Linked DNA regions of Kluyveromyces lactis. The protein of the gene in region 1 binds, or shares a complex with, the protein of each later gene. Links are inferred from orthologs where the notes say so. Each region holds a gene or a part of one and is shown in the gene's direction. Other genes may lie near its edges. The genes, in order: NUP145, SEH1, NUP82, NUP120, NUP2, MLP2 and NUP188.

Region 1 (5,266 bases):
TACCAAAACCAAAAAATGTCGGCTCTCCCATACTATCCAAAACAAGTAAACATGTTCTATCAGACACTCAAAGTCAATCGGGACCAATCTCCTTGCAGACATTTTTTGATGCTGCTAATATAAAATTCAACGTTGATACCCAAATAAACGAATTTCAAATCGATCTTAAGAGTACGAATAACATCGAACATGTCCCATCTAATATAATATACCAAGCGTTATATTGTAAGATTCCAATATTAGAGATTCAAGCTTTCACCGCAAAAGAACTAACCCGAAGAATTCTACAATCAAGGAATCTCTTAAAGAGTCTTCGAGAGCAGATTGCATCCAACGAACCCCCCAGGTTGATAAAAGAGTATTTTGAGGCAGATACTGATACCCGTTATGCTATTAACGAAAAGTTAGAATTAGTAACCATAATGGCTAGATTACAATCTGAAAAAGTCTGGTTTGAGTGGAGATCACAACATTTGAAAGGAATTAAAACAGTCCTGGAAGAAAATATAGCTATCTTGGTGGATGAAAATGCCCAGATCATGAAATACATGAATGAAATAAATGACGTGAAAATAAGAGTTAGTGACATCAAACAGGTGTTAATGAAAGAACTTGATGTTCTTCGGCAGCACAACGATGTTTTTAGTAACAAGAAAGAGAACATAACGACTCTCCTGAAAGTGAACAAATTGAAAGGAGACTTGAGGGAGAACATGCTAAAGGTGTCAGACTTGAACCAGCTGACCACTAAAAAAGATCAACTTACCCAAAAAATACAAGATGCAAAATTGGAGATGAGTAAAGTGAACGAAGAGATTGCTCAACTTCGACAGGACTTGAAACAAAGCAAAGTTTGCACAGAATATGATGTGGCAAAGCTTAAACTAGTCCATCAGCTTTACCAAAGCATTTCTGGTATAAAGTTCAGAAAGTTAGTTGGTCCAGTCCTATCTGTATCATTACATGACGACAAAGTTATTGTGACAGCTGATCTTTCAAAAATTGATCAACCGTCATGTATTTCATTCAGTATTAGAGAAGAACGAATAGACCAATTTGAAAGAGAATTTATAAACTGTTGGATCAACTCTTGCCAGCGAACCTTCATAAATGGACTACAGTGCATATCAAGTTTGCAACGTCAACTGATAGATCTTTCAATTGTCATTTCAGAATTCAAAAAATTAAAACTCGTATTCCCGGCAACCGTCAATGCCCCATCACAGAATTCTCAGATCAAATATGTCACATTCCAGCATTTGGACTATAAATATCATTGCAAAGTAGCCCTTTCTTTGCCTATGGAAAGGTTTATTGATTTGATATGTCACTCTAAAAATGCGACCATCAATGTTAATATTATCTATGGCGAAGAAAAAACAGCAAGAAATCTAACGTCTAATCTCATAAAGAAATATGAAAAGGTATTTAAATGGCTCTCCAATTGTAATATAGCTCTTTGATATGGATATCCGAGCTTTTGTAGCGCAAGTTTTAGGCATTACGCAGTATATAGTTTCGTACGATATTTCTTTAAATTTCTCTCGAATGGCAATATTCCAAAAAATTGTTATTCTATAACATTTAAACAGTAAGATGAGTGTAAACAAAACACCTTTTGAACTCTAACAAGTGCACTACTTGGCTATCATTGATCGCAGAGCTTCTAAAAACCAATTCCATAGCTGGTGTTCATTGCTGCAGACGAAATTTCTCAGTTTTTTGTTACTGCTGTCATTTTTGAATCTGTACAGTTTAAACATCATCATCATAAATTCAACAACAAGTTGATTATGTTTGGTAATAACAAAGCGCCTGGTTCGTTATTCGGCAACGCGAACACCTCAACACCTACAACTTCTACACCAGCGAACAATGGGGTTTTGAATGGAAAACCCAATACTGGCACATTGTTTAGTGCTAATACACTCTCCACGCCGAGCCCTGGAAACCCAACAGGATTTGGCAATGCTCAGAACAACAACAACAAGCCTGGGTTGAATCTTTTTGGAAACAACAATGCTTCCCAGAATACACCACAGACGAATTCTCTATTCCAGCCTAATAACGCCGCTGCATCAACGCCCAACACATCATTATTTTCTGGCCCAGGGTCGAATGCCCAGCAGAACAATGGTGCTGGCAAGCTATTCGGAAATTCTGGTGGACAACAGACAGCTACTGGTATCTCATTCGGAAATAACCCCAGTGCGACAACAAACAATACGTTCCAATCAAACGGATTAAATACGCAACAGAGTGGTGGTTTATTTGGTAATAAATCAAACAATGGTGGGTCACTTTTCGGAAATACTCCATCGCAAACTAATAGTCTATTTTCTAATAATACCACGAACACGGCGTCAACAGTCCCAAAGACTTCACTGTTTGGAAATTCATCAACACAAGGTTCAGGGAGCTTATTCTCGTCCAGCAAACCAACTACAAATTCAACAGGCTTGTTCAATGTTTCTCAACTACAACAGCCACAGCAACCTGGCCAACCCCCAACGAACAACCCATACGGTTTGCAATTAAGTCCAAATCCTGTGCTGTCAATGCCAGAATCTATTACTACATCCCTGAGTAACGAGAGAAAGCCTGTCTCAGACTCGAAACAAAATAGAAAATTTTCAACTGCATCATCAGTGATCAGCAACAATATATTACCTCCCACAGGCAATTCAACACTGATAGGGAAGCTAACTTCAAGACTTAAGAATTTGAAGAGCAGAGAAACAACACATGGTTTGTTCTCCCCATCAAATAAAAACTTAGCCCAACAGGATACTTTCTCGGCACTTTCAAGAGATGAGAGTAAGGAAAAAGGGAAGAATATTAACAATAAGACAAACTCACTGGCTTCTTATTTTAACCAGGACGTTTCAAGCATGAAAAAATTAACCATTGATACAGACAGAAGCGCTGCCAAAAAGATGAAACTCTTTAACGGTCACTCTTCCGCTACCATAATGAAAGATATGGACGAGAAAGATCATAAGATTAGTATACCAAGGAATGATAAACTTCTTTTTTCAGCACATCCTTCAGAAACTAGTCCAACAGAGCCAACTTCGGAAGTCTGTCTGGATGAAGAACACAAAATAACGAATAAAGCAACTGACTATTGGTGCTCACCTACTATCGAACAATTAGAGCAACTTACGGAAAACCAGCTCACGGTTGTGCCCAATTTTGTGATTGGTCGCAAAAACTTTGGTTCCATCAGTTTTGACTATGAAGTTGACTTAACTGCATTTATGGATGATTTTGAAGAACTATTCGGAAGAACAATAATTTTTAATGAGAATAGAACCGTGGAAGTCTATCCTGATACCGAAAATAAACCGGATGTTGGTTATGGTGTCAATGTACCTGCTACAATAACTTTGGAAAATGTTTATCCGATCGATAAAAAAACAAAAGAACCCATTAAAGACAACTCGAAAATTGCTGAAGTTCAATATTTTGTCAAGCGTTTAAGGAATATGAAAGAAATGGAATTCATTTCATATAACCCATTTGGTGGAATTTGGACTTTTAGAGTTAAACATTTCAGTGTTTGGGGAATGGTCAATGAAGAAGATATGGAGGTGGATGCTGAAGAAGCAGAAAGAATAAACGCCGAGGAAATAAGAGACAGACCTCTGGCCTTTCCCAAGCGTCGCCACAGTGTGAAGAAGTCTAGCACGTCCCTTGAAGCGGAGGTACCAAGCAATGCAGACCTCACAGCAGCAGAGGCTCTTGCAATGGAGAAAGAAGTACTAGATTTGGTTCCAGTACTATCCGACTCTGTTGACCAAGACATGTCACTTATTATCAAGGAAAAACCTTACGAACCTTCTGATTTAGACGAAGATGATTTGAATATCCTCGAGGCTGCACCTAAACTTGTTACATCATCGAACTGGTTGCAACAATTACAATTAGCAGGTACTTCCAAACAGTCTGTGTATTCCAAGCCACTTTTACTCAAAAACACGCAAGGTAATTCTTTGGACGATATCTTGTTCCCTTCATTTAAGAAAGATTTATTGACATACCAATCTGTTAAAAGAGAAAGAAGAATCAACTCACATATGTGGTTTGCGAAGTTTAATATTAACGGGCAATTATTGCTCAAAGATCCATCACAGTTGTCAGGCTGTAAGCAGATCGTGTTTCAGTCCAACTTGCCAATAAATAAATCTTCTTTTGACAATGTGTTCGCCTCTTATCTGAACACATCCATAGTCAACTCCAGACCAAATGGTTATCCTCTTGTTGGGAAATGTTCCTTACAGTTCGATAATCTTGCTTCTGCATATTCTGATGTCCCAAATGAAGACAAAATATTGAAGTTAGCATCCATTTTGTTTGATCCTCTTTCCCTTCCATACGCTGTCAATTCCCCAGAAGTTGAAAAAGTTCTTATTAAAAAACAACGGCATGCAAAGCTCTGTGGATGGATAGTCGATGAAACAAGGGCTGAGATTGATTCTATGCTATCCACTGCTTCTGATATTCAGAAAATACTTCTTTTCCTCTCTGTCAACGACATTGTAAATGCTTCAAAGACGGCTATAATTTCCAAAAACAAACATTTATCTGTTTTGATAACGTTACTGGGGTCCAATGATCCAATTGTTCGTGAAATCGCGCAACTACAGTTAACTAAATGGAAATCTTTAGGCTCTATAGTGGATCCAACAGTCATTAGTATCTATCAACTACTCACTGGCAATCCTTTCGCTTCTACTGCGTTGGTAAATGAGAGTAACAAGTTTTCGCGGTTAGTGAATTTAGGTTTACAAGTATATTATGGAGATATCGATTCATTGACTCTAGAAGATTTGATTATGAATGCTATATCAAATCCATTTGTTGATACATCGTCTGTTTCAACTTTTGAAAACTTGTCAATGAATATTATGAAGTTATTTGCTTGCCCAACTATCCCAGTTGAGCAACTTTTAGATGAATTGAGATCGCATTCGGAGATATTCGATGTTCGGCTCTGTTGGTTCTTTACGCATATGTTACAAAGAGAAGATATTACTGAACATTTGCGTGACAGAATCACGTTAGAGTTCATTGATCAACTAAAGCTTGACAGAATGCATAAGGAAGCTTTATTCGTGGCATGTTTCATTGCCGATGATGCTATCGCCAAGAATACCATAGATTTGTTGCTAAGCTCAGAAATTTTGTATTTCACCTCCAATGATATTAAACCAATTTTGGAAAGATTACAGATTTCAGCTCCAATAATCCATCGTCATCTGGC
Region 2 (3,718 bases), on another chromosome or scaffold:
TATTACTGCAATCTAAAATTGTATTTGTTTTGGGATCGATGTTCAAATCGATTAATCGCAATTTGTGCAAAAGTCTCAATATCGGTTGCATTACTGGCTTCGGTTTTTCTTTTATAAGATCTGCTCGTGATGTGTACATTAGCCAATCACTCTCGTTAAATTTCGGTAGTCTATGCCTTGGGCAAGGCACCAATCCGAATATTTGTGGAGCTGAATAGATGAAATTGAAGATTTGTGGTAGAAAGAATAGTAACGTAGTCTTCGAGAAGTGTCCAAGAATACCGACTACAGCGAAAACCATACCAGCGAAGTAACAGTAAGTATCACCGACAAATACTTTTGCAGGCCAGCGGTTCCATTTGAACAATGCTAGTGAGACTCCGAGGAATGGGACGATCAATAAAAGTGAGAATAGGTGTGATTCACGAGCATGTCCGTTCACACCCATAGTTAAATACAACACATCATTAATCATAAATATTAGGCCTAGGACAATGCTCTGCCCAACTTCAAGTCCATTGACACCAGCCAATATATTAATTGAATTTGGACAGAAAATGGCGACCGAAGCCATATAGCAGTAATAGAAAGCGCCTAAATCAATGGATGTCTTGCTTGTACCAATTAACTCTTGTACAAACTTAGGGATCAAAACATGGGTAACGCTAAAATCAACATAGTAGACTACAAGTAATGGAATCGCAGCAATTGCTGGTAGGAAGAATTTATGTCTCCAGCGAAGATCAAACAAATCGTCAGCAGCACCTAGTAATATCGTGGATTCAAGACATAAAAGTGCACTTAAAAATTCACTTAACTTACTATGTGGGAATAGCTGTTCCTCCGTCGATTCTTGAGAAACCAGATCTCTATTTCCACCTCCAGAGGTTATCACCAAATATTTGTAAAACATGAAAGGAATCGAAAAGAACATGATAAACAAATACACTGTAGCAGATACAGATCCAATTGTTTCTGGAATCACTGGCCTACCAGGTTTACTCATATCTTTGCCAAATAAACCAATCTTGATGAAGGAATCACCTACTTGTGGGATCAATACATCAACTGCCACGTAGCCAATTACAGAAAACCCTACTGCAGATCCGATAGGAGATACATCTTTAAAATATACAATTATTGCAATAGCAAACAGTAGCAAAAAATAAGAAAGCATGGTTCATTCCCTGAGCTGGTACTGGCTATATATAAAGCTTCAGTAAGCACTTTTTTAGCTTAGCATTTAAAATGCCAAGCGCTTTCTTAAATTATTGTGTTTTGATTTTCGATATATATGAATCCTTTAAACATTGAACTTCGAACTTTTCGAAAACGAAAGCTAAAAGTTGCATGATAGAGGGAAAGAGAGTTGAGCTGAGTTGAGAGATATCTACACTTCACGGCTTTGAAGGTTGAAGTTATTCTATCGACCAATCTAGTGGTAAATCCGATAAAATCTTTTATCATCATGAAACCGTTTTTGACAGGACACTCAGACCTAGTGCACGATATTAGTTATGACTTTTACGGTCGTCGAGTCGCAACATGTTCCAGCGACCAACATATCAAGGTGTTCAAGCTAGACAAGGAAACGAATGAGTGGGAATTGAGCGAAAGTTGGAAGGCTCACGATAGCAGTATTGTGTCTCTTGATTGGGCCGCACCAGAATTTGGTCGTATCATCGCGAGTGTCTCATACGATAAGACTATCAAACTATGGGAGGAGGATCCAGATGCCCTTGAGTTATCCGGAAAGCGTTGGCAAAAACTTTGTACGTTGAACGATGCGACAGGACCGTTGTTCAGCGTAAAATTTGCTCCATCGCATTTGGGACTAAGGCTAGCTGCATTGGGGAATGATGGTAAGTTACGTCTTTATGATGCGTTAGAGTCTTCCGATCTTAGGTCATGGACCCTGACAAGCGAGATTACCGTCTTAAATACTCCACCTGCATCACATCTACAATCGGATTTTTGTCTGTCCTGGTGTCCCTCCAGATTTTCAACAGAAAGATTAGTTATCAGTGCCATGGATCAGGCAACTATCTACCAAAGAAACAAACAGGGAAAATTGGTCCCAGCAGGACATTTGAAGGGTCACACTGGATTAATCAGATCCATTGCGTGGGCACCATCAGTGGGCAGGTGGTACCAATTGATCGCTACGGGCTGCAAAGATGGGAAATTAAGAATATTCAAAGTAACCGAATCGCGTAACAACGGTACGAATATTATAAACGAAGAAAACGATAACAATGCAAACATAGAACGTGATGGCCCACCCATTGACAGCTCCGCCATTGATGCAGATGGATCAGTGGCTAACCTTCACGTCGAGCTGATCAGCGAACATTCAGACCATCAGGGCGAGGTATGGTCCGTATCTTGGAATCTCACAGGTACAATCCTAAGTAGTACCGGAGATGATGGTAAGATTCGGTTATGGAAAGCATCTTACTCGAACGAGTTCAGGTGTATGAGTGTGGTACAAGCGGCAAGGTGATTTATGTATATATCCCTTCATAATGTGATGTTAAAATGTATGTAATTATTGACCACGTGACCAGATATCATCAAGGGTTCGAGATTCAATCTAAACACTGACAAATAGAAACCTTATAGCTAAAAGGTACGCCACATTGGTGGTTTAAAGCCGTCTTCTCACCTGCTTGGAGTTTATCATGTACCGATCAATTCTAAGTTCTAAGCCCCAAATTGCACACATCCAGCCGTTGCTTTGTAATCACATGAAATACATTGCATCAGAAACGAACATTTCCGCATGCTTTGACACATAGCAATAAACACTGACAGTTTACTAATCTATAAATCTTATAGGATGCAGATATACCCGGTGTCATCATAAAATCTTATATGATATACCTACAGTACTGTTATAACGCCGTTACCAGAATGTACAGTTCTTCATCGTCCGGCCGATAAATCTGTCGTTCCGTTGCTGTTCCTGATTGTTGGTTCCGTTCCTTAGCACTTCTGCTTTCTAATATTCTTTGTAATAGAGAATTAAACAGGGAAAAAAAAAATGATTCTATATAAACAAGACCGATATTTCAATACAGAAATAATATAACTTTTGTCCACCTAAAATCGTTTCTGATTGATATTGGTGTTAATATTTTGGTATATACTGTTGAATAAGCTATAGCTATATCCAATATTCAAAATATTTTCATATATTAAAAGAACAGCAGCAATTACCAAGATGTCTAAGTTTTACGAATTAGCACCAAAGGACAAAAAGGGCGAACCATTCCCATTCACTCAGCTAGAAGGTAAAGTTGTTTTAATTGTCAACGTTGCTTCCAAGTGCGGGTTCACTCCTCAATATAAGGAACTAGAAGCTTTGTACAAGAAGTACGAGGATAAAGGGTTCATTGTGTTGGGTTTCCCATGTAACCAGTTTGGACATCAAGAGCCAGGTACTGATGAAGAGATTTCTCAGTTCTGTCAACTAAACTACGGTGTTTCTTTCCCAATCTTGAAGAAGGTTGATGTGAACGGTTCTGAAGCTGACCCAGTCTACGACTTCTTGAAGAACGAAAAATCCGGATTGTTGGGTTTCAAGGGTATCAAATGGAACTTTGAAAAATTCCTTGTTGACAAGAAGGGTACCGTTGTTGAAAGGTACAGTTCTTTGACTAAGCCATCTTCGTTAGAAGAACCTATTGAAAAATTGTTGAATGAATAAATTTGATTA
Region 3 (5,014 bases), on another chromosome or scaffold:
ATAATTATCTACAGTTAACTAAGTTGAAACCAGGCTATGAAGCACAACTCGAGAAGAAAAGTGCAGGAACTCTGTTGGAGGAGATGAGGGAAATTCAATCTTCTTTAGCAATGGCTGCTACAAATTACAATTACACTTTCTTAACTTATGGTACTACTCTCATGATAATTGGAACGCTCATAGTCACGGTATGGAATTTCCAACTAAGTCAGGAATATATTGAACATGTTGGTACTTCGGTGCTATTAGGAATAAGCATGTTTGCAAGTAGTTTTATTGAAGAAGAACATCAAATATGGTGGTGGATCACGATATCCGTACTTCTACTGATGCAAATATCGAACGGGAAAAAACTGGTTGTGCTATCTGGATTAAGGCTGATTCGTGGTTGGAACAATAGTGGCCAAAAATATATATACGACAATGTTCTACACACTCTTTTAAAATCACATACATCAGTCCTATGGTGGTTAAATGTAGTGACTTTCTTGTCCGTGGGTTTCCCATTTTTGAGAAACAAAGACGAATCAGAGAAAATGGTATCATTACTCTCCGTGTCCTTTTTGGCCTTGTCCTCGATAACTTACAAAATATGCTTTGCTATTGTTAACGGGGATAAAGTCCCAAGCGGTCTATACACATTCGCACTTAGATCATGCGCCATGTATCTAGCTAATGAAAATGCTACAGAATCAGATATTTCACAATGTTTAGTGCCTATCGCTCGGATTTTCTTCCAAATATGTGGTGTATCTATTATAATCCTTCTTTTCATGAAATACGCCTTGAATAAAAGCACCAATATGTTAAACAAACTACTGAGTGTTATAAAATTCGTCTTGTTGCTCCAAACTTCATCTGCAAATATCCCATTGTTTCTAATATTTGAAATACTGACTAGCGTCACACCGGACATCACACCAATTTTCTCATTATGTCTACAAAACCTCACTTTTTTCCAATTTGGTGGTACGAACTCCATTGCAACTGTCAATCTAACTAATGCATACAATGGTGTTAGTAGCAACTATAACATATACGTTGTTGGTGTATTAATGTTCTTGTCTAACTACGCACCATCCATCTACTGGGCTCTCTCACTAATTCCTCAAAGCTACAAACAGAAGACACTACGCTTGCAGCATTACTATATCACCGGAACATGTCTAATGATAGCGTGCATTGCACTAAGGTACCACCTATTCATTTGGTCCGTGTTTAGCCCGAAACTATGCTACTACGCGGCCTGGTCCCTCTATAATGTCGTCATGGATTTCGCCATTACCCTGCTTGGCGTTTTGTGAATTCTTAGTTTTTGAATGAAAAATTTCGATAAAATCAACATTTTGTACCATAGAAATTCAAATTGGACTGTAAATGATCATGAACTTTGATAGCCGCAAGGCAGGACAAACTTGCCAAAACTTATTGTTGAGGTTCGAATTGGTATCGGCAACCACATACCCACCATAACAAATCGGTTATTTTTCATATTATATAAAGAGAGAAATGTTGAGAGTGACTCGCGTGCTATTTAACCAAGTGAAAAGCGAGGCATCTGGCCAAGCTGCCAAGATCGTGTCATCATGTCCAGCTGGCACTCCATTGAACTTACAAATCAAGAAATCCGGTAAGGAACCCGTGGCATTAGAAGACAGCGAATACCCTGAATGGCTCTGGACAGTGCTTGATGCCAACGTCCAAGCTGAAAAACTAGCAGCTGATCCAATCAAGCTAAGAAAAAAACAATTAAGGATAGCCAACCGTGCCAACATCAAACAAAATAACTTCTTAGCAAAGATTTAACGGACCCACAGTATGATTCACGCCTGTAAATATATATACATATAAAAATGACATAAAGACACATATCTAACATAACTTTTTGATATCTTTCGTACACTTCCTTTTCTGCAATACTGGATCTGCTATAGGTATTTTTTTTTTTTTACTATTAAAGTTCAAAATATTCAAAATATATCGACGATGAACTACTCTCACGCTTCTTGAAATACACGTAACACAGATCAACTGGCGATCTAACTGTGGTACCTTCTCTTCCATAACTTTAACTGCCGGATATTGAACCAATATAGTGGGATGTTACTCTTCAATACAGAAGATTTGAAGGCAATCTTCCAGGAAGTGTCTCTGAACCCTTCCGACCGTCTTGTCTGCAACAATTCCAACACTATTTATTTATGGCAGGACAACATCTTAAGAGTGCAATCAGACCACGAAACGCAATACAGGAGTTATAATGTGGAGCTTCCATTCGTTCCAGAACAAATGGTCATCAGTCCGTCGGGGGGCCTTGTAGCATTTCATGCGAACAGCGAGCTCTATGTCATGGAAGTGAATGAGCAATCTAGATTAAGAAAGCATTTCAATACCAGTCTAGGGATAAAAAAACTATTATGGCATCCTCTGGCTACTTATGGGTTATCTTTCGTTATTTTGCATGATGATAGTACAATTCGAATTTATGATCTTGAAGACCTAGAACCCGAATCTATCACTGTTTTCAATCGTAAATCGAGATCATTTGGGTTATCAGACCATGTGGAATCAGTTTGTGACATTGCATTTGATCCAACCGGTTTGACACTTTATCTGCTGAGCTCCTTCAATTACTGTGACATATATGCTATCCATCCGTGTCTACCAAAGAATTTTTCCCTACGCAGTAATGATACATCAAATGTCACATCAAGGACGAAAAATGGTTCTTTAGCGGATTACATGTTGCACAAATCATTGTCTTTATACAATAGCCTCGATAAACAGCTAAAGCTGATATCAGGTTCAGATCCTGATGTGGAATCCGATTACCTCACCTTAAAGCATGATCTATTGAAACAAATTCAATTTTTCGACAACTATAAAAAAAATGATGGTATAGACACATTCACGAGCAAAGCAATCAGGAACTCTGTACCACAGGGCCCGTTCATTATAAAAAAATTTCCGACAGCTTTGAATGCGAAAGAGGTCACAGGCTTGACAATCATACCGGTTGGAGAACGTTTGGGCCTTTTGAATCTTCAATTTATAGATGGAACAAACGTTGTGTTGTTCTCCGATTCTGAAATTGTCATGAGTTGGAGTTTACGCTCCAATACTACATTCAATAACCTTAGTGTAATAACAATGTTCAATGCAAAAGGTCAATGCCAACTACTAAACTCCTCGGAACCTAAATTAGTATTTACTGGTGATAGCTCCACGACTATCATGGAAATGCCATGGTTGGAACCATTGGCACAGTGCATAAGGCTTCATGACTTCTCTATCATTGATGATGTTAAGTTTGAAAATAAAATAAGAACAGTTTCAGGAACTTTCCTCGGTGTTTTATCTACCTTGTCTGGTGATATTCTTTACAACGGCAATTCCTTCAAGGTCATCGAGAGTAACGACAAGAGCACCACACAGAAACCCATAAACAGAACCGATGAAGTGAAATATACATATAAACCATCGTTGCCAACGTCTGGAAAGGAATTGGATATGCTTTTGACGAAGTATAAAACAGAAGCCAATGGATTCATTTCAGGCATACCGGACTCTTTGGCTCCTCTCCCTTTGAAGAACAATTCCAATGAACGTCAATTGGAAGTGGTTTCTGAACTTTACAAGGAAACCATGAAGCGCGTCAAGTTGGGACAGATGATTTTATTTAGAATGTTCAACAAATCCAACGAAGAAGTGGCTGAACTCCATCGCCAATTAAGAAAAACCAACGAGATCGAAATGTTGAGAAATAAACTTAACGGAAACTTGGGAGACCTCCAAGAAAGATATTCCAGGTATGAGGAAAAGTCCAAGACGTTGGAAAAACGACTTGACAAGTTAAAAGAGACATTCTCCAGTATAGAAAATAACGAGAAATTAAGAACAAGCAGTATCAGCGAGGCCGAACTAGTGTGGTTCAAAAGTATCAAAAACCAGGTATTAAAGTTCAATAACTATGTACATCTGACAAACAAACTTCGCGAAGAACTAGAGTTTTTGGACACACAGCTTAGATCAACTACTAAAGGAGACGATTTCTTTTCCGAGCTAGAATTTAGTTCCCTACAACAAATGTTACTGAACGACAAAAAGGTCATCAATTCTTGTATGAATGAGTTAAGCGCATCCATTGAAGATCTAGCGGTATAATAGCAATCACCATCTACATATCTTTTTTTTTTCGTTTTTAGTTTTAAAACTGGCATATACCTTACTATATTATGTGCTACTTTTTATATCATTTCATTATGTGAATATGCTACTAACCGAATTTTGTTTTAACGTGTGAATGGCGCTCAAAAATCGGTGACTCTTCCGTTGAAAGAATAATCACCATGCCTTAATGGATCCTGCTTTGGTCCACCAATTTCTCCTGTTTTAGGATTCTTTTCGCCTTCGAACTCTGGTATAGTCTTCATAAATTCTGGAGAAAACCCACCAATATCGTTCTTCAAGATTGGCGATTTCACCGATTCCATAGTATGATCCGATTCAAACTGTGCATTATAAGAATCAATAGCTTCTTGAGAAGACGCTAGCTTCTGCAGCCTTTCAAACTCTTCCTGGTCTTCCTTTGGTAATGGTGGTGGACCTGCTCTTCTTTCTTGAAATGTTCTAATTTGATTCAACCTGACAAAGGCTGGTCTTAGACCGACTAATCTTACACTTTGTTTTCTTATACTGGAAAGCATGTAGGTTGTATGTTATAGCGGTACCTTGTTGAGAGATGATCTGCAAACGAAGTCTAAAAGAAATTATCAATATAGATGAATGCCATTTACGCAGACAGATATATATTGTAAAGATGATATATGTATGAAGAATGAAATATCATCGCTTTAAATCGGGGTGAGAGGATAATTCGGTAGTCATCGGTGAAAAGAAAGAAGACAGGATGATAAATTAAAAGTCATGTGACTGAAATAGAATATTACCCGGGAAAACACAGAAAACTGTGGCGTCTAGACAAAAGAAATATGATTCACGTGACTGATGAGCA
Region 4 (5,034 bases), on another chromosome or scaffold:
GAGCAAGAGGAAGAACTGTTACATTCAAAACTATCGGTGCAAGAAAACATTAAAGAAATAGTGTACCTTTTGAAAAGCCCGCCAGTAACAGATCAGTTGGAATCATTGAATGATAAAGATGATTCGGTGAAAAAATTAGAATCCTTGAATTTGTTTAATGTCAACAACTCTAGCATTCTCAAGAATGGTACTGATAATAGAACCGAAGTTAAAAACGAACATAAAATAAGTAATTCGCAAGTTGACGACGGGGATCTTATCATCAATGATAAAGAGGCCAATAGTACCAGCAGTGATGTCCCAAATATCACTCTAAACAGGGATTGGAAAGATGTCATAAATTCACCCCCAGGAGATGACGTTTCTGATGCCGAAACTGTAATAAACACAAGGCGATCAAGATCATCGTCCTTGTTCTCAACACAATCCAATGAGATGCTCAAATTCCATACTTATCGTTTCTTACAGTATCATTTATCTTCAATTAGCAAATTGAAGCTTCTCGGAAACAACATGCTATCTTTTGGCTCAGATGGTTTACTAAAGCACTGGCTCATTGAACCTAGTTTGAACTCTAATGAAAAGGCAACCAAGGCGTTTCACTGTGTGCCTAACCTCTTGGGTATTTTTTGGTTGAATAAAACAAGGTTTATGACTGTGGATGAAACTTCCGTCAAGTTGTGGAACGTAAGCCAGAGCGACCCTGTCATATCTTGGGATGGCCTCAAGGATTTAGAAGGCTTACAATCTGTAGATTTCAAAAATAAATGGCTAATTTTGACTTTCGTTAACGAGATACGGGTCTGGGAAATTAAAATCGATGACTCCAGTATCGTTAAGGTTAATGAATTCGTCATTTCAGTCCCCAATAAGATTCTCAATTGTTTGTTGGGATTAACGGAAAAATCGCTTATAATATTAAATGGTAGTTCAAAACAAAACGTAAAGATTTCTATCTTCGACTTTCAAGGCTCCCTTTTACAACAAATCGATCTTTCTCATTCGCTGACCCAATTCCATCACACAAATAATGAATTAGCATTGAACAGGTCGACATCAAAATTGCTTGTGAGATTCGATACAGAAACTCTGATTTACTCTTTCGATCAGAAGAAGACCATTTTAGTGTCTTCTACCGCAGAATCTGCTATTTCCTCGATTTTCCTCAATGATTTGGAGTACACTGTCACCGCTTTGAAGGATGGTTCAATACTCGTGAAGTCAATCAAAGAAGATGGTAAAGTAATTAGAAAATACAATCATTATGAACACCCTGAGAAGGTTCCCGCTGAAGTGCAACCAATTGCCATTGCATCCACAGTCATAGATGATACCCCTGTAATCGTTTCTGGTGGCTATAACGGTGTGATACGACTAGAAAAAATTATGAGCTTATGAACGCAATGCTATAGTAATCAAAGCTGCCGCTATAATTCAAAGAGAAATATAGGAAAATAATCTATAATGCTCATGTAAAACAGTACAAGACGAACGTCATCGTCTATAGACATGGTATCCCCAGAGTACCTATATAATCCTCCTCACAACATGGAAATTATTGCCCAAGCGACCTTAAAATTCAGTTATAAGTTACCCGGATAATATTGTTTTCATGGTTACAACAACAATGAGAAAAGACATGTTGAAATCAATCTGACATGAAGTGGAATCGGTAAACAGAAGAGAACAGCCACCAGAGAACTTCAATTACAGGCTAAATCGGAACATAAACCTACAACATTACTATTGAACAGCTGAGAGGTAAAGCTGAAACTGCGAAAAATGACCAGCTTTTCTCGTCTGAATACAAATTTACTACAATTAAAATCGAAGCACTCATCAGACAATGCCCAACATTTATACGTCAATGGGAATGTTGGATCATCTACAGAAGAAATAACTTCCGTAGAGTACAGCAAACTGTTGCAACTAAAATTAATTGATGAATCGTTGTCCTTCCAATGGTGTAATAATTACACTGTTTTGAGTATTTACTCCATGAAGGAAACTTTTGCAAGGAAAACCATATATATCCACTTTCCAAAACCTCTTCTGAACAAATGGTTTACTGCAGTCGTATACGAATCTAGTGAAACGACCTCCAACCTATGTTTTGATGTGATTTTAAAGGATGGAATTTTCATCAACCTTTCATTGCCTATCGATTTTATTCTATCGAGAACTCGTCAAAATGAGTATCCTGAGAATTGGTTGAAGGTTTTAAACCCGTATGATTTCTCAGTACGTCCTCCACAGTGTCTATTTCATGTTGATAACACCTTCAGTGTAGTATTTCTAAAAGATGGTGGTCTTTTGGGGTTAAAACGTATTCCGCTCGAAATATTAAACGATTTTGAATTGCAACCTGTCCTATTCAATGATAGTTCATACTTTCAAAGTTTTACAAGAATGTTTTCAAAGTACGATAACCACAACTCTGCAGTGGTATCTGCAGAACTTTTGAATGACAAGTATCTTGTCACATTAACGAATGATGCAACCATTAAAATCTGGGATTTAACCACATATCAACTAAATGCGCATTTCGATCTAAAAGAGAAAAACCAGCAGGTGAATTATGGAGCTGCCGGAAAATACATGATAATTTGTGGATCTCTCCTGTTTGTATACCTACCTGCAGGTAATGGATCGTTCCAAGTCATTCAATTAGAAAATACGCATTCTTCAAGAATCTCCTTCAAACCATTAAACGTTAATATACCTCTCAATCTTTCATCTTATTCAATATGGTCTTTAATTGACATTCAATTAGTAAAATCCTCAATTGTCAAACAATCGGGACTCAACTTGGTTTTATTATGGAAAAGTAACACAGTGACCAAGCTACAACTACTCTCCTTCGAAGACTCTCTGTATAGTAGCTACAAATGGATTGATGGTAACAGCACATACCTCTCTGATTTGCTTGATGACTCAGACCTAATAACAAACGGAAATATGGAAAAGGCTCTCCTCAATCTCAAGTCACACTACTCACAATCAACGTACGATGACGCACAAAAGATACTGAATAAAAATAATGTCATGGTGCAGATAAATGATCCTCATAATCAAGATTATTTGAATAATCTAGAAGCTCTTTTGAAAGAACTTCATAAACAATATCAGGAGCCTTCAACTCTAACTATTCTTGATGATGAGATAATTGTTGTTAACAGCTTACACATGTATCATCATTCCACGTATAAGTTAGACTCACAACTTGAAACAATTTTCTTTAACATTTTTGAGAGAAAGGAACCCTCGTCTCAACTAGAGCTTTTCTTAAATATCCTGCATGGTTTTTCAACAACCATTACATCTGAAACGTTAAATAAGATATCTGAGAAGTTCTTAGACATGGTAAATGGTTCAATAAATCCCTCGTTATCATTGAAAAATAAAATTACCATTGTCTTTCAAGATTGTCTAACAAATGGTTTCCAAAGTGCTAATTTATCAAAATTGTTGGAAAATCTAAATTCTATTGATGTGGTGGAGGTTTTATCCGAATTTATACACTGTGATTTGAAAGTAGGTGCTTTTTCAGTTATTGATTTATTAGATACTGACATTTTCTTATCTGTTTTGTCTATGGAATCCTTGAAGCAGACACTCTCCATTATGGATAAGTTTATCATTGATATATTGTTAGTATTCACTATTGTGGATATCAACTATGAAGTTTTTGCAGAGAAGTTGTCTAAGTTAATTACCTTGCACTTCAATATCTCATTGTGGCTCCAAGTGTATCAAATAGATAAATTATTGGCAATTTCTGAGACCTTCGGTCATGTTACTAAATACAATTATGGTGCACAATTGAAATCTTACAGCGATATAACCGACTTTACTACATTAATGGTTGGTTTTGTCAAGAATTCTCCAACAGCTGAACCTCCAATATTTACAAGAGCCTTTTCCGATTTCATATTGAACGGCGAAGATTTGACTTGTGCAAAGCAATTCCTACACTTTGTTGCTAAGCCTTACCATGTGTCCAAGGATCCAGTAGAAGAACTACTATATGCTCTTTCTTTGTTCAAATGCAATGAATATGATGCATCTATTGAAATATTCTTGGCAAATGACTTCTCTGATGAGCTCTCACTACCTAAATATCTGGAGGTTACTGAAAATCACGTTTGGTACAATCTCCTTCATGCGATCAATACAAAAGATAAACCAGCATACTATTATGAACTTTCAGTTCTATGTTCCAAAGCTTCATCGTATGCTAATGCTTTAAAAACCATCAAAAAATCTATATCACTTGATGGTACAAGAGCAGATCAGTTGATACAATACTTAGATACATTGATAGTATTTGGCGATTATAAAGAAGTCCTGGATGTATTGAGGTTGGAACAAAAAGTCCTTGATATAAGCCTAAGAGAAAAATACTATTATACACTGCTGAGTGATCAAAAGTACAGTGAAATGTTCACTGCAACTTTACTCCAAGAATGCTACAATGCAAACATTTCCAACGGATCCATACTATTATGTGTGAGTGATTATAAAATTATAGCTTCAATTTTATCATCACAAGTTTCTCTCACTGATTGGAACAGCTATAAAAAGTTGTTCTCTTTCAGAATACTAAATCAACATGAAAGGAAAGCGTGCGAGGAACTATATGACTATGTACTCTTCGGATCGAACGACGAGGTTAAAGAAAAGTGCCTACTTCTAATATCCAATGTCTTAAAGACATTTTCAGATGCTAAGGACCAATGGTTCATCAGCTATCCAGGACAAATTATTCATTTACATGAATTGAATGACAAAATGAATAAGTGTTCAAAGTAGATAAACATATATATTGAAAGCTTTGTTTAACCTCTATTCATTGTATTTCCGCTTCCTTTAGGATTGGATTCGGTGAAGTCATCCCATGCTCTTGCTTTATATGTAGCAAGATCATTGGATTCAAAGTCATCCTCATCAGGTTCTTCTTCTACGGGTTCTGCCCCACCTTGAAGGACCCTGTTCTCTTCAAATTCTTTTGCCAAAAATTCTTCCACCGTCATT
Region 5 (4,897 bases), on another chromosome or scaffold:
GTGCTATGTCTACCAAAAGCATGCCTCATCAATATGTAACGAAATAATCTGATAGTATTGGACTTTAAATCGAGAAAATATTTGCCGTAGTTACAAAAGTTATATATGAATAGAGTATATGACTTTTATTGCATTTATTCAGAAGCGGTAGCTCTGGTGTAGATGGCTTGCTTGGAGTGCTTGGAAACTGGCTTGATGATGCCTTCGTTTTCCAAGTGTCTCAAAGCAACTCTGGCCAAGGAACCACCCAACTTGAATCTGTCAACCAACACAGAGACGGAAACGTATCTGTAGGTTGGAGCTTCCTTCATAATTCTGTCGAATTTATCTTGGTCCAAGACAACAGCGTGCTTAGCCTTGTCCTTGTGGGACTTCTTAGACCACTTCTTCTTGGACTTCTTACCACCAGCCATGGCAGCGGCGGCCTTAGCGGCTTTGGACAATTGTTGTTTTGGAGGCATATTTCTGCGGAAAAGGGAACGTTAAGTTCGGTATTGTTAGTAAAAAATTGATTCTTTATGAAGAGGGGTGTAGTGAGAAGTAGCACATCACTTAGTAAATTTGTCGCAAGTCCGACTAATGACGAGAGAATTTTTCTGATAGATAGCTTGTCAATTTGAATGAATCCTTACTTTCCAGCAAATTCACCCAAATTATAGAATCTGGTTTCCTAAGAAATATTTGCTGGCAGTTCCATTGGGCTATATCACCAAATAACAAAAAGCTGCATTATTCAGTACACTTTTAATCCTGATGCCATAGTACGATGATCAATACAATGTTGGAGAGAAAATTATCAATCCGTCCACAAAATATCTCTGGTAAATGTTGTTTCAGTATAACTGGTGTTGTTTCATTTGTCATCACTATCAATAAATTAACATTAGAACCTCTTCCTGATTCATATATCTATCTTATTCTTGTATAATCCTCGATATCAGACCTCGTGCTGGTTTTATTTTGTTATCTCTTTCATCGTAATCCCAAAAGTGCTATTCCAAATAAGTAACCACTGCTAGTACACGGCACATACGTTCAAATTCCCTTAGCTGGTTTCTTCTTGAATGAACTCAAAAGTAAATAACCCTATAATAATCAAGGTGCTACTTTAAACAACTTGTTAATATCTCTAAGTTGCAATTCAATGTAAATCAAAAAATGAATATTCAATCCGAAGTGAGTTTGTCCAGGACGCAAAGTATTCCTCTTCCTACCGGAGAAGCAGAGAAAGTGAAGCAGGATAACGAGGATTGCGACAAATGGACTCATTTTGGAAAGGAGATAATTTCCTCTTTAGGAAGGAAATAACGCATGAGAAAATATACAAAGTTCAACTTTCGGATATATAACGTGGTGTCTGGATCCAACAAAACAGTCCCGTAATACAACATTAAAAATAAGAGCGCTATAAAACAGATGTTTCATCTGATAGATTAGCAAGTTTTACACCAACAAGTCCTACATGGTGTTACGGCCATCGTACTTGCCACCTGCGTCAACTAATGAGGTAAGAAATCATTGCACGTGTGTCGGTTATAACGGTGGCTATTGCAAATAATCCCTGAAAGCATAACAACGTTTTATATTCCGATATAGTGTAACGGCTATCACACCACGCTCTCACCGTGGAGACCCGGGTTCGACTCCCGGTATCGGAGGAGAAAGCGATTCGAAAGTTTCGCTAAATACTTTTTACATTTTTACTCCCCTGAGCAACCCATCACAAGCAGAATAACATGTAGTCACGTGTTCAGCATAAGTCATCCCACACGAGTCAACAGTATATTGAAGGATTTAGAATTTCGAGCTGCTTTATTATTATTTCTGGTGTTAGTATCATCAATTCTCATGTTGATGTCTGAATGCTTACACATCAGCAATCCTTAAACTCCTTTTCTGCTACTTCCGGTTGCTTCCCGTTAGTTCAATTCGTTTCTGATTAAGAAAGTGACTTCTCTTGAGCTGATCTTTCCAAGCACAATACTCACTGTAGGATATGTCAAAGAGATTTGCGGGTTCTCAGATGACCAGAGAAGGTCTTGAGAACGGACATAGTAATAATGTTTCAGATGACGAGACTCCATTTGATAAACCTGCCGTTGCCAGCGAATCTGTAATGAGTACCAGAAAAATTGCAATGCCAAAGAGGAAAATGGGAGGATTTACTGCGGGTGATAAACCTAACATGTTCAAAGTGATAAAGGATGACAAGAAACCTCAAGGCACTGACTTAAACGAAAAACTCACGGCATTGAACGTGCAATTCAAAAATAAAATAAATTCTACATTGGAATCAGATCCAGTTGCTGATATTTCTTTCCTGTTCGATAAATACAAGACCTATTCGCAACAGTTAAGGTCAGAAGCGAAAACTAATGGCGCTGCAAACGCTCCTCCAACTAGCTCATTCACATTTGGTACCACATCAGCAAATGTGGAGAAACCTAAAAATCCATTTGCATTCGCAAAGCCTAGCGCAGCACCATCATTTGCTCTACCTTCGGAGGTGACTAAACCGACAACGACCGTAACGGAAGAGAGACTGCAAGATAAAAAAGAACAAATTGAGATTAACAGCGATAGTGATTCTGAAGAGGAAAAACCAGCCGTTAATGTTGAAGGCCCAAAGTTTGTCTTGGCTAAGAAACCAACGACGTCTGATCCGCCTTTCAGCTTCGGTGGGAATAAGCGTAAGGAACCTGACAGCGATAGCGACAGCGAGATAGAGATCAAGGGACCCCAATTTACGTTTAATGGGACTGTATCGTCCAGTGCCTTTACTTTACCAAAGAATGATGCTTCAAGGACAGAGGAATCTGAACCAGCTGAAAAACCAACGGATAACAAGCCAGCTAGTATATTTGGGAACTCTTCACAATCTAAACCAACATTCCCTCCTTCTGCGTCCGCACCATCCATAGAGAAAAATGAGGGAAGCAAACCAGCTCTTCCTGCCTTTGGGTCAAATAAGGCTGATAATGGTAATTCATCATCTCCGTTCTCATTTTCTTTCAGCAACAATAAAGATTTGGCCAAAGAAAGTGAAAATAAAAAGGAAGAAGCAAAGCCAGCTAGCACCTTCGGTACATTCTCTGCCCCTGCTCCATCGGCGGACTCTAAACCATCGTTTAGCTTCTCTGCTCCAGTGCAAAGGACAGCAACTGAAAACAAAGATTCATCAAAGCCTTCCTTTACATTTGGAGCTATGGGCAAGGAAAACAGTAATGATGAAGCTAAAAAGCCTTCTTTCACATTCGGTACCTCAACAACCTCTGAAAAACCGGCTGAGTCATCTAAACCTTCATTTACATTTGGTAAAGCTTCAACAGGCTCCACTCCTTTCACTTTTGGAAAACAGGAGACCGACAAAAAAGATGAGAAAAAACCTACGTTTACGTTTGGGGCAACAGCAGCATCAACTGTACCAGCATTCAGTTTTGGTGCCAACAAATCTGAAGAGGCGCCTCCACAAGGTGAATCATCTGGCTTCAAGATCTCTTTACCCTTTGCCTCATCTGCTCCAACATCTGATAAGGATACTGCCAAGGAAGTTAGTGAAAAAAACAGCGAAGACGCATCTGCTGAGGCACAAGAAGAGCCATCTAAAACTTTGAATCTATCGAACGGTGAGGAGAATGAGAATCTACTCTTTTCGCAACGCGCCAAGCTAATGATTTTCAATACTGAGACGAAAGCCTATGATTCCCGTGGTGTAGGTGAATTGAAGGTTTTGCAAAACAAGGAAGACAATACAAAAGCAAGAATACTTTGTAGGTCAGACGGTATGGGTCATATTTTGCTAAATACTAGTATTATAAAGTCATTTTCCTATGAAGCATTAGATCCAAATAATGAGAATTTGGTTAAGTGTCCTGCAATTAAAGCGGAAGGAGGGTTAGACACATACGTCGTAAAAGTGAAACAAAAGGCTGATGGTAGAAAATTAGTACAAGCGATCAAGGATGCTCAATCACCGATGTAAAATTAAGTACATTTAACTGTTAATTAATAGAACTATTTGAACTTAGTTCATATATGCATGTGTAACTATTAAAATGGCAAAAAAAAGTACTTAAAATAGTCAATCTTCAGCACCTTTGAGCTCCTCTTCTATCAGTTTTTTGAAAGATGCAACTGCCCAAGACAGTCTTCTACTTTCTCTATCATGTTCTTTTGAGCCTTTCATACCTGAAATATACTTGATATAATCAAAATGCTTAGATATAAACCATCTTAGCGCTTTTAAAATAACATTCTTATTCTGAATGTTAATACCTTTCTCGATCAAAGAAGACAAACCATCAGAGTTATACTCAAATGTTTTCTTTCCATCTCGTTTGATCTTTATTTCGGCTGCCTTACCTTCGGAAAGGAACAACTGGAAAAGCAAAATATCAAAGAAGATTATTCCATCTGAGTTGAGTCCTGCCATTAACGGAACATGCTTGAAAGCATCAAGTTTCAAGTGACCTTCTGCTATTAAATGGCCAAAGAATCGGCCTTGCTTAGCCAATCTTTGTAATCTAGTGTCTTCATCAACAGTGTCTTCATTGCTGAACAAGGTATCTTCCTCATCATCTGAATGTGTCTCAAGCTCGAACTTCTTCACAATTTCCCAGAATAAAAACTGGAAAGACTTTAAAAGTTTGTGGTTATGCTCTGAGAGTTTTCCTGCTAATAATGAATAATATGGATTGTATCCGGACGATGTGCCATCGTTTGACAAGCAATGTAGCAGCACCCGTGAAATATCAAGACTCTGTTTACTCTTCAAGTTCAGCTTTTCTATCTTAGCGAATGCATCCAAATAATCCTCTGCAGACATTATGCTAACGAATATAGCTCTTCTCACATCAGTGTTCATCCTCTGTTGTTTCGCTATCTCATTCCAATCAAT
Region 6 (4,003 bases), on another chromosome or scaffold:
TATTACAATCAACTTTAGAGCTTTCCAAACGCCAATGTGAGGAGCTACAAAAAAGATCATCTGATCTACAAGATATTTTAACAAAACAGGACAAACGTACACAGGAGACTGTAGATTCCTTAATCAAAACGAAATCCACTTTGTCATCTATACAATCGGAACTATCCATCTTGAAGTCTGAAAAACAGTTTATGGCAAAGGTTCAAAAGGAACTGAAGGCAGAGAACGAAAGATTTTCCAAAGAAAGTGTCGAATACAAGGTGTTAATTGCGCAACTTCAGACACTCCAACGTGAGAGAGAAATGTTACTCAAGGAAACTCAGAATTCTTATAAGGAAAAGCTTAGAAAATTGGAAATTGAGTTGTCTGGTTCACTCGAACGCCTTGAAGAAATTGAAAAAAACACCACAGGAATTGCTAGCAATAAAGAGCATCAATATAATTGGTTTCAAGAAAAGATTGATAAGTTAACTAGTGAGGCAGCTCAACAGAAAACGACCTTAGAAGAAAAAGAAGCTCAACTTCAGAAAATGCAATCCACTATCAATGAACAATCCGCAAAACTCAAGGAGGCCGAGGCACGGGCACAATCATATACGATGTTAAGTAATGTCGATGATGCTCAAAACCTAGTTGAGACTTTGAGACAGGAATTGGAAAAGGTTAACTTGCAACTTTCTGATTCATATTCACAAATAGAGCATCATAAAACTCTGGCGGAACAGTCCGTGCAATCCGTTAATGAAGTAAGCCAGGCCTTTGAAGAGGCCCAGAAGGAATCTCAGAAGACAATAATCACTCTAGAAAACGAAAGAAATCAATTACAGAGTACTGTCAATATTCTCAACGATCAGGTGAAAGACCTGAATAACGAAATTTTCCATCAAAAATCAGAATACCAAACTGAGAGGAACGCAACAATGGAAGAAATCAGTAAGCTTCAGATGGTGAAAGAATCTGTGGATCGAACTAAGGCTGACTACGAAGAAAAAATTGCAATGATTCAGAAAGATCTAGAAATGCAAACGCAATATGCAAATGAGAGTCAACGGAGCTACGAACTTGAATTGCAAAAGCATGCAGATGTCTCTAAAACTATTACGTCCCTAAGAACTGAGGCGCAAAGCTATAAATCTGATCTAGAGACACTTAAAACCCAATCCCAACTGGCTATGGAGAACTTGAAGAATAGCGAAAAATTATGGAATGAACAGAAGACTGAGTACGAAGATAAACTGTCCGTTTTGGAGCAACGAGTCCAAGAACTATCAACCCAAAATAAGCTCCTGTACGACCAAATTGAATTGCTAAACAAGACTGAAGATCGTGACAACTCTCATGATTCAAGTGACTTGTTAATCAGCTTGCGCCGTGAAAGAGACATGCTAGAAACTAAACTAGAAGTTGCATTGAGCGAGCAAACGGTTCTAAAACAACGCCTTGATATAGCAAAATCAGAAATTGAAGATTTGAATACTCAATTATCTCAAGTTAAGAATAGTTCCAGTGAAAGCGCTCATTTGCTAGAGCAGCAAGAAAATATAATGAAAGAACTTGACCAACTGCACTTGTTAAGAGAAAGTAACGTTACACTAAGATCTGAAAATAGTTCATTCAAGAAAGAATGTGACAATCTAAAGTCGCAATTGCAAGAATGTAATGATAGGCTGGCGCCACTACAGTCGTCCATTTCCTCTTTGCAAAATGGTATCAAAATTAAAGAACAGGAACTCATTCAATCGAAAGAAGAAGCAGAACGGTGGAAAAGCCGTTCTCAAGATATCTTACATAAATATGAACGTATTGATCCTGAAGAACATGGTAAACTAAAGGAGGAAATTAACGATGTTAAAAATGAACTGCAAACTACCAAGGATACTTTGCAAAGCGTCATTGCCGAGAAAGATGACTGGGAATCGAAGTTCCAAAGAATTAGGCTTCAAGCACGTGATAGATTGAATGCCTCCAAGGAAAAGGAACAATCTTTATCATCAGAAATAAACCAAATCAATGAAGCTAAATCTCAAGTGGAGGCCGATTTAGGAAAATGTAAGACCGCTTGCAAAGAGTTAGAAGAAAGATTACAAGTGGTAACGCAAGAAGCAGAAACAAAGGAACAGACTTTTAACTCTCAATTATCTAAATTGCAGGAAGATCTACATTCTATTCAGGTTCAAATGGAAAATGCTTCCAAGACCGAACAGAATAATGCAGATTCAGATGAAAAAATAAAATCGTTGACTGAGACTGTGGAAATGTTAAATAGTAAAATACAGGAGCTTGAAGCCGAAGCCTCCAACGCTCAAAAAATAGTAGCTGAACATCATACGCCAGTTATCAACGAAGACACGAAGTCAATAGTGGATAATTTGAAAACAGAATTTGAAGCTGAAAAAGAACAATTAATAAAAGATAAAGAAAAAGAATTGAGGAGCAAGTTTGAGGCAGAAAAAGAATCTGCTTGGAATTCCAGAGAGGAAGAGCTCCGGAAACAGTTTGAAGAAAGAGAAAAGAGAATTCGTGAAGAGTGCGAAAAGACTACTGTCCAGTCTCCTTCGCAGCCTACCTTGGATATAGACATCGATGCTTTGAAGAATGAATGGGAAAAAGAATATGAGAAGCAGACTCTGGAAAAAATTAAATTAGCAGAAGAAGCCCTCAAGAAACGGATCAGGTTACCTACTCAACAAAAGATTGATAAAATAGTTGAGGCAAGAAAAGCTGTTTTAGAAGAGTCCTTTGAAGAAAAGGTAAACGAAAAGGCCCAAAAATTGGCAGGAGAGATCGGAAATGATGCCATTACTCTAGAAAAGCATCGTGCAGAATTGAATGCACTTAAGGATTCCATGCGTAAGCAATTTGAAGCAGATTTGGCAGAAATAAAACAAAAATCTTTCGAAGAAGGGAAACAGCAAGTTTCCTTGAAATTGAAATTTTTGGAAAGCAAGATCAGGAATTTAGAACAACAAAAGTCCACAATTAAACCTGTAGAGAATGACACTTCTAATATGAGTGCAGCATTCCAGGCCCCTGTATTTGGCTCTCATTCAACATTCACTAGTCCCTTCTCAACGTCAGAAATTTCTCCTAATAAGAGACCCATAGACGACACCGCAACAGAACAGCCTGAGAAACGTCACAAAGAGCCTGAAAGTGATACTGAGGATGGTCAGGAAGCCTGATTCTCCAGACGATTTTATGGCTGTTAATATTACCGAAGTTCTATTTAATTTTTTTCTATTATGTATCATTATTTGACCATTCGTTTTCAACATGTAAAAAATACTAGTATTACTTTCCACAGATATTCAAACGAGAAAACAAAATAATGACATCCCACAAGTAAAGAATGAACGAGAATAGTTACAGAAGCTATCGAGTATAGGTAACAGTGAAGATGCATCATGTCATATGATCTAACTGACCCGAGAGAAATTACGGCGTTCGACCCGTACGAGGAATTATCTGATGATGAATCTGAAATCGAAAGAGGTATGTTCTAATAATAATGGTTACCGAGATCAATGACATTAGAATATCCTACTAACATATTATAACCAATCATTAAATCAAAGTGAAACGAAGAATTGTTGAAATTGACACTGAGAAACGAGATTTAACTAACCGGCTGTTGGAACTAGAGAAGAAGAGAAACCTCAAAGACCCTAATTTCGATTCTATCGACGTTCCAGAGTCTCCTAAGAAATCAGATAATGCTACAAAAGGAATAGAGGATATCAAACATATTGCGCCAGTAGCAGATATAGAGGAAGCTACATTTAATGTTAATGAGGATTATGTAAGGGAAAAGGTCAAAAAGTTGGGTACCACTTCTTACTTTACTGAAAAACTTCGCTCCATCAATACAAATGAACATGAAGCGATTAAAAGGAAGAAAGAATTATTGGCACATCGAGTTTACACATTCAATGGCGACATGTTCGATGAATATGAACCAATTACTGTTGATGAAAAAGATGATTTGAGTGGTCTGGTTATAGAC
Region 7 (3,577 bases), about 720 kb from region 1:
CTCTCTATCGGAAATGAAGTCTTTTACAATAAGTACAACCAATGTTTGCTGAAGTCTTATGAATTAGCAAACCTTTTAATCTCCGTCCGTGCAATGTTACAATTACCTCCCAGCACTCTGGAATCACAAATATATGGCAACTTGCCGAAGTTAATTGACATTTACGCCTTACACAATGATTTAAGAAATCCAATAATCAAACTCATGACGCACCTTGTGAGAGCCCCTTGGGCCGAAAACTTCCCATCTCTTTTATCGTATCTGGGCCAAAAACACTCCAAGATGATTTTCAATTCGATCTTGTACGACCTCGCAAGTACAATCGATGATTATCAATTTCTGAAGAGTTTATACAGATTCTTTTCTTCCGTTATGGAAGGAAAGCAGGATGGTTTCTCTATTCTTTTAGTTACTGGCGAAACCATATCCGTTGGCTCTTCCCCAAAAAAATCAGAACCATCGAATAGCGCCTCTGAAACATCAATTCTTTCTCTCCTTAAGAAAAATGTCTTGAAGCTAGATTGCTACCCGGAATCTGTGGCTTCTCGACTTCTTGAAGCAATCTCATATGCATTCAACTCTTGGGCTGCTGCAAGGAATAATACAGCAGATAAAGAATTTATAGATTTTCTCGTCAAAAGGCTAGAAAAGTTCGAGGACAAGTTGGCTCCCGATTCGGTTGAGGCGACGATTAAATTATCCAGTCACTATCGTCTTCAAGCGAGGATTGCTGAAATATTTGCCCTTCATCTATTCACCTCTTCACCTTCAGATTCCACCATAACAAACATGTTAAATGGACCCCAACTTGTTGATATCGTTAAGAGGATATTTTCTATAGACGGATATGATAAAACTCTTCATTTGACTCTCGCAGAGGAATTCAAAAAGATTTGGCCTCATCTGGATATAGAAAAATTCGCTATTTCACCACTTTATAGAATCGGTAAGGCGTACCAGGCGAACATATATGACATTGAACTTCTTGATCAGTTCTTCTGTTGTGAAGAAAAATGGAGAGGGAACGGGTCCACTCCAGGGTTTAGAGAACAAGTTATAAAAAGCTCTATCAACTTACAATATGTGTCTTTCCAAATTTCAGCAGCAAAATCATGGGGAGCTCTTTTGACCGCATTCATTAAGAAAACTCCAAAGCCTTTACAAGCTTCATATGTCGATATTGTTACCCAACTACTCGCACTAAATGTTGAGCATGGTGTGGAGGCACCTATCTTCTCTGAAATATACCTCCTAAGAATCGAATTGGTGTTTTACATACTGTATTCATTCTTACAAACTTCTATGAAGATACCTGAGGATAAGCTTGAAACTCTATTGTCACAGCTTTTGGCAATTTTAAAGTCTAAAGAGGTAGATTACCTCGGAAATATCGCACAATCGAATAAGAATAATCAATATAGACCTATTCTTCGTTCGATTTTGATGTTGTTAACTTTGGCAAAACCTTACCCTATGTTTTCAGAAAGATATTCTGATAGTCTATTGGAAGTCTTCGAGTTAGCTTTTTCAAAAGGTGTTAATTTGATCTTGTCTTCTATATTATTCTCATTCACAATAGCCTCCAACAAAGGTAAAAAAGTTATTGTGCCAAATCTTGCCGACAAAATTCAAGATTTGTTACTATTACTATCCCTTTTCACAAAAATCAAAGAACTGAACCCTTCGACATCCTTTAACGCTGTATTGGCATCCTCGCTAAATGAATTTGGAACCTTAAAATCACTTTTGAATCTTTACTACAGTTCATATCTTTTCAGATCTCATGATGAACCCTTATTCGCGGAGCTAACCCTGTCATTCATTTCTGAGCTTGTCACAATTGAAGAAGTTGCACAAAAGATTATAGATAACGGGCTCTTCTCTGTGTTCTTGGAAAGTCCGATTTCGGTGTCAATTCAACAATCTGGGGCTCGCCCAGAATTATCACCAAGATTGCATAACATATGGTCCAATGGCATCATATCGATTATTCTTCAACTATTAAGTAAATTCGGATCTGGAATACTTTCGGAAGTGTGTCTATTTGTTTCATATTTCTCCAAACAAATAGATCTTGCTGTGGGGGGCTGGTCGTCTGACTCACTGTCCATAACTCAAGCATATATCCAGGAGACTTCCCAGATAATTCTTTTGCAGAAAATGCTAGATAAACTTGAATATCAGCGTTATTTGTCTGTTAATGGTTCCAAATTGAAGGTCATTGACGAAGAAGAGATAATAGAGTTGTTCCCTGGTTTAGACACTAGCTCTGAGAGAAACGATTTGGCAAATGTATTGAAACATTTGTTAACTCACCCAAAGTATATGAATTCTCGGATCATCGCGACAACCCCAGACAAACAAAAGATGATGGAAGATGAGGTCTATAGAAATCAGCTTCTACATTCTATCACCAAGCAAATCTCAGAACTTCAATCATCCTTGATGTCAGATTTATAAACAGGTAGGTTTATATAGTATTAATATTATTTAGATAGAAATAATTTTCTGAAGTCATCATTGCTCAACTTTTTGTCATTTTGTGACGCTTGCTGTGATTTAATTTCCTTTACAACAGCGTGCTTTGGTTGATTCAAGGTTGTTTTGTGTTCATTGGGATAATGAAGGGAAAGTTCATGAGCAGAAACACATTTCAAAATTCGGTTCTTGAACTTGTATCCATTGATTGCAAGTGAAACTTTTGCGGTAATTGCTTCTTTGTCCGCTATTATTAAAGCACCTTCATGATCAGAGACCAGCAAAACCTTCGTAATATCCGGAGGTCTAATTTGAGCTTTCTCCGTAATGAAAGCAAGAATTTGATCTGGGGTAATCTGATCAGACAATGGGTATATTCCGACAACTTTTGGGTTTTCTTTTCTGGAAGCAAGCAGACGCTTCACCTCTTGTCTTTCTAGATAAGCCTTTCTCATAACTTTTGAAACGTGTAATGGCTTACCGTTCATTACCGCTCCATTTAATGACAAAGCATTATCTGCACTCGCTTTGTTTTTGAATGTTATGAACGCATATCTGGAATGTCGTCCAGGGTTTGTTTCATCACCAGTTACTATTCTAGCTTTTTCTGTATCACCAAACTCATTGAACATCTTTATCAAATCATCGATGGTAATATCATCTGGAAGGTTCTTAACTATTATCTCTCTACCATCCGATATGGCATTGTCAGTCCTTTCAGTTCGTTCGTTGACATTCGATATTTTCGCTACTAATTTATAATTGTTGATCTCTATCCCATTGAGCCTATTTGTAGCTTTCTTTGCCACTTCTGGAGAAACTAAATCAACATATGCAAATCTTCTTCTTGAATTGAACGCTAAGGACGGCAATCTAATACTCAAAATTGGTGAATCAATGTACTGCGATAGTAAATTTCGAAGCTTGCTGGCATCATACCCAGGTGGAAAATTGGTGACCCAAATCGTAGAATCTGTTAGCTGTTCGACAGTTATCTGATGGAAGCCAATCTTTTTCAAAGTCCTGCTCACTGCTGTTAGGGCTTGATCATAGGAACTAAATTCAATCCTTGCCAATTTTGAATCCCCATCTGTTGAAT

What was found.
Region 2: NUP145 (region 1) and SEH1 share a complex: the UniProt entries of both Saccharomyces cerevisiae proteins name them as parts of the nuclear pore complex. The link is inferred for Kluyveromyces lactis from reciprocal best matches to the Saccharomyces cerevisiae genes NUP145 and SEH1.
Region 3: NUP145 (region 1) and NUP82 share a complex: the UniProt entries of both Saccharomyces cerevisiae proteins name them as parts of the nuclear pore complex. The link is inferred for Kluyveromyces lactis from reciprocal best matches to the Saccharomyces cerevisiae genes NUP145 and NUP82.
Region 4: NUP145 (region 1) and NUP120 share a complex: the UniProt entries of both Saccharomyces cerevisiae proteins name them as parts of the nuclear pore complex. The link is inferred for Kluyveromyces lactis from reciprocal best matches to the Saccharomyces cerevisiae genes NUP145 and NUP120.
Region 5: NUP145 (region 1) and NUP2 share a complex: the UniProt entries of both Saccharomyces cerevisiae proteins name them as parts of the nuclear pore complex. The link is inferred for Kluyveromyces lactis from reciprocal best matches to the Saccharomyces cerevisiae genes NUP145 and NUP2.
Region 6: NUP145 (region 1) and MLP2 share a complex: the UniProt entries of both Saccharomyces cerevisiae proteins name them as parts of the nuclear pore complex. The link is inferred for Kluyveromyces lactis from reciprocal best matches to the Saccharomyces cerevisiae genes NUP145 and MLP1.
Region 7: NUP145 (region 1) and NUP188 share a complex: the UniProt entries of both Saccharomyces cerevisiae proteins name them as parts of the nuclear pore complex. The link is inferred for Kluyveromyces lactis from reciprocal best matches to the Saccharomyces cerevisiae genes NUP145 and NUP188.

The regions. Positions count from the first base shown.
Region 1 is NC_006041.1:1,685,754-1,691,019, forward strand, and holds the start of NUP145 (nucleocytoplasmic transporter NUP145), read left to right. Parts: upstream 1-1,793; coding exon 1,794-5,266. Other genes in the region: kinetochore-microtubule binding complex subunit SPC105, read left to right, coding at 1-1,463. UniProt on the Saccharomyces cerevisiae protein: Functions as a component of the nuclear pore complex (NPC).
Region 2 is NC_006042.1:649,260-652,977, reverse strand, and holds SEH1 (Seh1p), read left to right. Parts: upstream 1-1,468; coding exon 1,469-2,503; downstream 2,504-3,718. Other genes in the region: ALG7 (UDP-N-acetylglucosamine--dolichyl-phosphate N-acetylglucosaminephosphotransferase), read right to left, coding at 1-1,177; glutathione peroxidase GPX2, read left to right, coding at 3,224-3,709. UniProt on the Saccharomyces cerevisiae protein: Functions as a component of the nuclear pore complex (NPC).
Region 3 is NC_006042.1:155,759-160,772, reverse strand, and holds NUP82 (linker nucleoporin NUP82), read left to right. Parts: upstream 1-2,100; coding exon 2,101-4,164; downstream 4,165-5,014. Other genes in the region: mannose-ethanolamine phosphotransferase LAS21, read left to right, coding at 1-1,304; MRPL37 (mitochondrial 54S ribosomal protein mL54), read left to right, coding at 1,510-1,806; SDH8 (Sdh8p), read right to left, coding at 4,311-4,706. UniProt on the Saccharomyces cerevisiae protein: Functions as a component of the nuclear pore complex (NPC).
Region 4 is NC_006039.1:1,080,206-1,085,239, forward strand, and holds NUP120 (Nup120p), read left to right. Parts: upstream 1-1,782; coding exon 1,783-4,812; downstream 4,813-5,034. Other genes in the region: FAR8 (Far8p), read left to right, coding at 1-1,398; TAP42 (Tap42p), read right to left, coding at 4,839-5,034. UniProt on the Saccharomyces cerevisiae protein: Functions as a component of the nuclear pore complex (NPC).
Region 5 is NC_006038.1:545,359-550,255, reverse strand, and holds NUP2 (nucleoporin NUP2), read left to right. Parts: upstream 1-1,996; coding exon 1,997-3,982; downstream 3,983-4,897. Other genes in the region: RPS25A (40S ribosomal protein eS25), read right to left, coding at 135-461; SGD1 (Sgd1p), read right to left, coding at 4,082-4,897. UniProt on the Saccharomyces cerevisiae protein: Functions as a component of the nuclear pore complex (NPC).
Region 6 is NC_006037.1:52,483-56,485, reverse strand, and holds the end of MLP2 (Mlp2p), read left to right. Parts: coding exon 1-3,182; downstream 3,183-4,003. Other genes in the region: MCM10 (Mcm10p), read left to right, coding at 3,405-3,492, 3,576-4,003. UniProt on the Saccharomyces cerevisiae protein: Together with the closely related MLP2, involved in the structural and functional organization of perinuclear chromatin. Together with MLP2, associates with the nuclear pore complex and form filamentous structures along the nuclear periphery.
Region 7 is NC_006041.1:968,882-972,458, reverse strand, and holds the end of NUP188 (Nup188p), read left to right. Parts: coding exon 1-2,460; downstream 2,461-3,577. Other genes in the region: U6 snRNP complex subunit PRP24, read right to left, coding at 2,487-3,577. UniProt on the Saccharomyces cerevisiae protein: Functions as a component of the nuclear pore complex (NPC).